Linked DNA regions of Sus scrofa. The protein of the gene in region 1 interacts with the protein of each later gene in a biochemical or structural test. Links are inferred from orthologs where the notes say so. Each region holds a gene or a part of one and is shown on either strand. Other genes may lie near its edges.

Region 1 (4,287 bases):
GTTCCTCCTCTATGTGTCTATTCTGCTCTCCTTTCTTTGGAGCATCAGTTACTCATCCAATGGGAATAATGATACAATCCATTTTGTAAGAAGTTGTAAGGATTGAGATCACAAGGGTCATATATTCAGAGTGACCAGTTCATCATTGGTGCCAAAGAAATTGTTTTCCTGTGAGATTATATGTGTTTGGATACAGAAGGGGGCAGATGTGGAGGAGAGAGAAGAAATAGCCTTTGCTAGGCACCTAGGCACTGTTTTAAGCACTTTCACAGGAATTAACTCCTTTAAATCCTCACAATGGTGGGTAAAAGTTCAAACTTGAGCTAGACTGCCTAGTTTCAAGTATTTCCTTTTTTTTTTTGTCATGCCCATGGCTTCCTGCAGTTTCTAATTTCTAAGCTAGGGATCAAACCTGTGCCACAGCAGTGACACCAGCCAATGCAGCTGAGCCACACAGAAACTCCAAATAGTTCCATTTTACAACCTATAAGTAAGTAGTAGAGTTTGGATTAAATTCTGGGGCTGACTAGGAGTAAGTAGATTTGACTCTAGTATGTCCCTTCAGGCAGTTTAAAATCTTTTGGCTACTGGGCAGGGAGGGGTCTTGGGATTACTTGTTCCACCACTATTTGAAGTTTGTGTGATTGCTTTTAGTTCCTCCCTGGGAATGGCCGATTTTTATTCTTTATAAAAGACAAATCTAGTAGTTCCCTTATTAAAGATCCCACGTTGTCACTGCAGCGGCTCGGGCTGCTACTGTGGCACGGATTCCATCCGAGGTCAGGGGACTTCCATATGCTGGAAGATGTGGCAAAAAAAAAAAAAAAGAGACAAATTTACTAATTCCCTAGTTAGAATGTTTCAATCCTTATTAAACATATAAACATTCAGTTTAATAAGTCTTTTATTGATCTAATCTACATTACTTTCAAAGGCTGCCTAACGTGTGTTTCTTTCCGCATTTGTACCATGATTTACTTCGGCAGGACTGAGTCTTTAATTTCAGTATTCTCAGCCCCCTGCCAGCACTTAGCCTAGCATTCAGTATGCACTCAATAAATGCCTGCTCAAAGTATGAATGAACTAAAGAATCGCGGAACTGAGTCGCAGAGGGGGATCGGTCTGGGAATTCCAAAGTTCGGGAGGGGACACGGGGGCGGGCAGTGGCTGTCACATGACTAGGCGGGGCAAATCCCATGTGCTTCGCGGCACCGGGCAAGGCTCCGCCCTCTGCGCCGGTCACGTGGGGGCGCCGGCTGCGCCTGCGGAGAAGCGGTGGCCGCCGAGCGGGATCCGTGCGGGGAGCCGGAAATGGTTGTGGACTACGTCTGTGCGGCTGCGTGGGGCTCGGCCGCGCGGACTGAAGGAGACTGAAGGTAAAGCCGCCATGTCCGGGCCCGACCCGGCCCCCCCATCCCCTCCCCCCGCATCCGCCGCCATCCGGGCCGGGACCGGCTACCCTGCGCCGCCTCCCCGGCGCCCTGGCTCCTCGGCCCAAGCCCGGGCCCCGGGCCGCCAGGGCCCGATCCCCGGCCCACGTGTGCCCGGCCTGGCCCGGCCTGGCTGCTGGGTGGGGGTGGGGGAGCGCGGGGCCGGAATATGCGGTCCCCGCGGGCTGGGAGGGCGCCGGGTTTCCCGGCTGCTAAGTGCCACCTCGGCCCGACCCGAGGAGGCCCTACGGGCGCAGGCACCGCGACTCCCGGCCCGCCGCCCCCTCCCCCCTTTGCGGCCCGGCCGCCGGGAAGTGACACGTTGTTCTTTGGCACTGGCCGGCGCTGCGCAGGGAGGGCGCAGGGGAGGGAGGCGGCGGCGGCGGGCAGGGAGGAGCCCCCGGCCCCGCCCGCCCTCCAGGCCGACCCTCACTTGCTTCAAACCGGCTCTTCTTCGGCCGCCGCCCGCCTGGCCTTTTACGGCCCGACTGCCGCTTTTCCTGGCCTCCACTCCTGGGCGGCGGCAGGCCTCGCCTCTAGCCCCGTGCGGGTGCACCCGCGGCCACCCGCGGCAGGCGTGCCTTGTGTGCCCCTGGGCCAGGCCCCGAACCCGGTGTCCCCGGGTGGGGGGTGGGGACACCACGGCCGAAGCTGCTAGCTCCGTTTGTGATCCGGGAGCCTGGTGCCAGCGAGACCTGGAATTTCCGGTCTGGTTGGTCTTGGGCCCCGCGGAGCCAGGTTGATACCCCCCACCTCCCAACCCCAGGCCCTCGGATGCCCAGAACCTGTAGGCCGCACCGTGGATTTATTCTTAACCGAGGGGGTGAGTGAGGGGCTGTTTCAGCAGATCAGGGGGGGTGGTTGGAGCTGCGGGTCTGACAAGGTGTCGGTGGGGACATAGGCTGGGTTTTATGCTCCTTCACCTTTTTGGCGATTCCGGGGCTTGTTGTGGGACCCAGACCTTGCTTCATCCCTCCCCCACTCCATTTGCCTTAAGCTTGGGTCCCTTCCCCTTTCCGAGCTCCGCTCTTTCCCAACAGGTGCTGGGGGGACCCTGATGTGGCACCAAATGAAATGAACAAAGCTCCACAGCCCACAGGCCCCCCACCTGCCCCATCCCCTGGACTCCCACAGGTAATTAGGGAGGAATTAGCAGCAACTGGGGTGGGGGTGGGGGAGACCAGGCAGCCGGGTCAGGAACAGGTTCCAACCTCTGGATTTTCCCACCCCCTTCTGTGTCAGGGCAAAGTGCAGCTTCCTGCTGCCAAATTGAGGCAGGGCCCCGGGGCTGTTCTTAGGGGCTGTCTTGGGGAGGGTATATGTGGACTGTTGAGGCTCTTGCCACAGCTCTGCTCCCCTTACTTCACCAGCTTGAGTTTCTGCCCCACCTGGGTTTCCCCTCTTGCTGAATTCTGGTCTCCCCCCTTCAGCCAGCGTTTCCCCCGGGGCAGACAGCACCGGTGGTGTTCAGTACGCCTCAAGCGACACAAATGAACACGCCTTCTCAGCCCCGCCAGGTGAGGGGCTGTGGGGAGGGGAGTAGGGGGCCTGGGTGGGAACCATGTGAAGCTTAGGCCAGTTTGGGCCTAGGATGGAAACTATGGAGGCCTTGTACCTGCCCCAACTTCCTGACAGTTGCTTTCATGCGGTTCTGCACTTTGCACTGTTGATTACTTACGGTGGCTGGCCCCTTGGAGTATGTAGTTGGTGGGGATGGCATTCCTAGGGGTCCTGGTGCCTTGGGGGCAGTGCTTTGGGCCCTGCTGCCAACTCCTGCTTTCCTGTTTTCTTTTACTGGGAGGTTGCCATTGCTCCATTCCCCATCCATCTTTCTCTTTTGGACTGTGGCAAGATAAACACTCCAGCTAGTTCTTGCCTTTCTCTGTTCCCTAAATTCTTCCTCACAAGTGGGAGAGGATTCTTGTCCTGCTTCCTTCATTTTCTTTCCCTCCTCATCACCTTGGGGATAATTCTTTTCTTTCCTGTCCCCATGTGCTCTCAGGGAGGATTCAGGTCTCTGCAGGTAATACCCCATTGCTAATCCTGAACTCTCTCCGGGTCTCACCCTTACACTCTGCCCTAGTCAGGGGCTAGACTCAGTCTGGGTCCTCAGTCTGAGGCTGACCGATGCATGTTAGGGGCTAAATCTTGTGTAGTTCACATCTGGGAACTGGGAGACTGTTGCATGTTAGCGGTGAGCTCCTCAGTACCTTAGGGTGGAGCAGTGCATGCTGGGGAGTATGTTGCTGAAAAAGGCTTTACTTAGGCATGATGCATCTGGGTGTTAGGAAGCCTCTGCTGAAGGATAGCCTGGTGAGGTGATCTGAGTATGCATGGCAGGGAGGGAGTAAATATACAGAGTGCCAAGTGTATACCTGAGTTTGGAGGGCGTATGTGAGTATAAGAGGCCACTTAGCCATCACTTGGTCAAGTGAGTCTTGGAAGTGTTGGTCTTCATGCTCCAAAGCCCCTGGTACTTCTCTCCTGACTAGAGACATAGTGGAATGGCCCTTTTGCTGTCCACCTCCTCCCCTTCCCATTGCCAACTGCCTTCCTCCCTCCTGACAGCACTTCTACCCTAGCCGGGCCCAGCCCCCGAGCAGTGCAGCCTCCCGAGTGCAGAGTGCAGCCCCTGCCCGCCCTGGCCCAGCTGCCCATGTCTACCCTGCTGGATCCCAAGTAATGATGATCCCTTCCCAGATCTCCTACCCAGCCTCCCAGGGGGCCTACTACATCCCTGGACAGGTGAGGCTGGAGGCTTGGGGGCTGGAAGCCACAGAACCTTGTACCCTCCCACCCTCCCCCCTCCCCTCCAGTCCCATCTCTTCTCCAGAGGTGGGACTTCCTTCTGGTCATT
Region 2 (3,267 bases), on another chromosome or scaffold:
CTCAGGAAAATATGCTCAGGGGTTGCAGGTGATCAAAGGACCAGAGCCTGCAGCCACAGCCCCCCACCCCCCAAGCTCAACGGGGTGTAAAGATCACAACTTTGATTTCCCCTTTCTCTGGGCTCAGATCACTTCCTCTTTGCCTAGAGACATGTGAGCTGCTTATGACTGTGCTGGCCCAGCCCCTTCCTAAGAGTCATGTTACCGGTTACCCAGTTCAGCAGGGGAGCAGAGCTGTACCTACCCAGTAGCGGGGTAGGGGAAGGAGAGGTAAGAAATGAGAAGCCAAAGCAGTTTCCAAGTTATTTTATTCAGAATTTTGTGTTTGTTTTCCTGCATCAATAAATACTATACAAAAACAATGTAAAAATGGCTACCATGTTCTTTCCCCTGCTCCCCCCCCACCTGGGGACAGTGCCCTGGGCCACTTAACTCGGGCTCTCCCTCCAGATTTGGTCCAGCAAATGAGGTGGAGGGGCATTACAGCCCCCACTGAATTATTTTCAGAATTCAGCTGGGGTGGGGAGAGCCTTGGGTTTGAAAGTTGACGAGGTTAGGGAAATGGATTAGTGTTTCTGGGAGAAGAGCCGGCGCCTGGGGCAAGAGCCTGCCCCAAAGAAAAGGGTGTCTAAAATGGTCATGGTTCCTTCTTTTGCCTCAAAAAGTGACATTTATTCAAAGAAAAAAAAAAAAAAAGAAAAAAATGACAAGATGTCCATCCCTTGGCTCCCTTCCCTCCCCCCTGCTGCTGTTCCTCAGCCCCCCTCAAGGACAGGTCGGATCCCTGGCTGGGGCTGGGAGAGCAGAGCAGCGCCTCAGATGAGGTCAGCAACATTGAGGGGCATCTCCTCGATGGAGGTGTTGTAGAAGGTCTCAATGTCCCGGAGAGTCCTCTTGTCTTCTTCTGTCACCATGTTAATAGCCACACCCTTACGGCCAAAACGTCCGCCACGACCGATCCTGGGAAACAAGTTAGAGTATGAGGAAGATGGGGAAGACCGGGGCGCTGCTGTGCAGGGAGGACTGGGCGGGGGGGGGCAGCCTGGCAGGTGTCTTTACCTGTGGATGTAGTTTTCCCTGTTGGTGGGAAGGTCATAGTTGATGACTAAGGAAACCTGCTGCACGTCGATGCCTCTGGCCTGTGTGGGAGAGAAGGCGGCTTCAGTGGGTGACTCCAGGGAGAGGGAGGAGTCTGTCCAGGAGAGGCGTGTGTGTGGGCAGCCCAAGGCAGGCAGAGGATGTTTACAGCCCCTCGCCGCCAGAGCCTCAGGCCTGCCAGATGTTATTCCAAGCTGCTACTTTCCAGAAGAGGGGCACAAGCAGGCCCCTTGGAGAGGGAATCACCTTGGATCCGCCCTTGGTCCCCAGTCTTCTCACACTCGCTTCTACTCAGCTTCTACTCACCAGCAGATCCGTGGTAATCAACACTCTGCTGGAGCCCGAGCGGAACTCCCTCATGATGACGTCGCGTTCTTTCTGGTCCATGTCCCCGTGCTACAACAGGAAACAGAAGGCGGCTGTTAGCAGGTAGGTGTGCTGGTTCAGCGAGAACTGGCTGGGGAAGTAGGCCTGTGACAGCCCCCCTCTTGCTGGGAAACCACGGCCGCAGCGGTGGCGGCGGGCGCTCACCATAGCAGAGACGGTGAAGTCTCGGGCGTGCATCTTCTCCGTGAGCCAGTCGACCTTCCTTCGGGTGTTGATGAAGATGACTGCCTGGGTGATGGTCAGGGTTTCGTACAAGTCACACAGGGTGTCCAGCTTCCACTCCTGGGGGTGGGGGAGAAATCAGTCAGGGGCTATCCCCCCGCCTTCCTGCCAGGCCCGCCTCCTGCACTGGGCCCCACCTCGCGTTCCACATTGATGTAGAATTGGCGAATACCCTCCAGGGTCAGCTCTTCCTTCTTGACAAGGATTCGAATTGGGTCCCGCATGAACTTCTTGGTCACTTCCAGCACATCAGAAGGCATTGTAGCTGACAGCAAAACCACCTAATGGGGACAACAGTCTCAGGGGAGGTAGCAGGTCCTCCAGAGCTTTATGGTTTGTCTGGCACTTTGTAATGGTCTCTCACCCCGAGAACACTACCATCCGTACAAAGGAATCACCACTCACACGAGCAAAACCCCAATGTTCTTCTCACCTGGGTGTTGCTATTGAGCTTTTGGAATATGTCATAGATCTGGTCCTTGAACCCTCGGCTTAACATCTCATCAGCTTCATCCAATACAAACATCTTGATGTATTTGGGAGCTAACAAAAGAAAAAAAAACACACACACACCAACAGGTATTTAAAAAAGGTAAGATATACTTTCACTTCTTCCCAGATAAAGAATAGGAGATAGGTGGTCTGCTCTCAGAATACAAAGATTGATCCTTTGCCTGTGAGCCCCTTGCAAGGCCAGACAACAGCCCTGAGAAGTAGAACACTACCTGGGCTGAGCTGACAGGGAAGCCAGGCTCAGATGACACGCATGGGGTTCATCACAGAGCAATGCTTAAAAAAAAAAAAAAAAAAACTGGGAAAACATGCTTAAGGAAGTGACCCAGAGACCTGGAAAATTGAGACACTCACACAAGTATCTCCTGTTAAGCATATCAAACACACGGCCTGGGGTACCCACGATGATGTGGGGAGCTTCCATCTGTAGCTTCTGCACCTCAGCACGCACATTGGTACCACCAATGCAGGCATGGCAGGAAGCACCCATGTAATCTCCTAATGCCATAACCACCTTCTGTATCTGAAAAGATAAAATGCTGTGTTAGCTATAGTCACCAGGCTCCATCTCATAAATGCTTATGTACTGGAGTTCCTGTCGTGCCTCAGTGATTAACAAATCTGGCTAGGAACCATAAGGTTGTGGGTTCGATCCCTGGCCCTGCTCAGTGGGTTAAGGATCCTGCATTGCCGTGGGCTGTGGTATAGGCAGCAGAGGCAGCTTGGATCCAATGTTACCATGGCTCTGGTGTAGGCCGACAGTTACAACTCCAATTGGAACCCTAGCCTGGGAACCTCCCCGTATGCCACAGGTGTGGCCCCAGGGGGGAAAAAATGCTTATGAATTTATTTTTCCCAACAACTCAAGCACTATTAAACACTCACTTCATAGGCAAGAAAACAGTCAATTTATGAGACAGGTGTCTCTGATCCTTTTCCTCTAAGACCCAGGAAAACAGTTCATTCCATGTGTCCTAGGCATGAAACAGCTCTGGCCACCAACCCAGGCATCAAGCTAGGATGAACAGAGGACTATATACACATCTG

Evidence for each region.
Region 2: the proteins of EIF4G1 (region 1) and EIF4A1 form a complex in vitro, tested with the Homo sapiens proteins (3 studies listed by IntAct, with this or other methods). The link is inferred for Sus scrofa from reciprocal best matches to the Homo sapiens genes EIF4G1 and EIF4A1.

What each region holds. Positions count from the first base shown.
Region 1 is NC_010455.5:122,202,283-122,206,569, forward strand, and holds the start of EIF4G1 (eukaryotic translation initiation factor 4 gamma 1), read left to right. Parts: upstream 1-1,223; 5' UTR 1,224-1,376; intron 1,377-1,828; exon of another isoform or gene 1,829-2,196; 5' UTR 2,197-2,253; intron 2,254-2,470; 5' UTR 2,471-2,504; coding exon 2,505-2,564; intron 2,565-2,800; exon of another isoform or gene 2,801-2,860; coding exon 2,861-2,947; intron 2,948-3,432; coding exon of another isoform or gene 3,433-3,453; intron 3,454-3,998; coding exon 3,999-4,175; intron 4,176-4,287.
Region 2 is NC_010454.4:52,871,273-52,874,539, reverse strand, and holds the end of EIF4A1 (eukaryotic initiation factor 4A-I), read right to left. Parts: intron 2,744-3,267; coding exon 2,575-2,743; intron 2,251-2,574; coding exon 2,141-2,250; intron 1,989-2,140; coding exon 1,845-1,988; intron 1,768-1,844; coding exon 1,630-1,767; intron 1,495-1,629; coding exon 1,405-1,494; intron 1,140-1,404; coding exon 1,060-1,139; intron 961-1,059; coding exon 816-960; 3' UTR 604-815; downstream 1-603. UniProt on the Homo sapiens protein: ATP-dependent RNA helicase which is a subunit of the eIF4F complex involved in cap recognition and is required for mRNA binding to ribosome.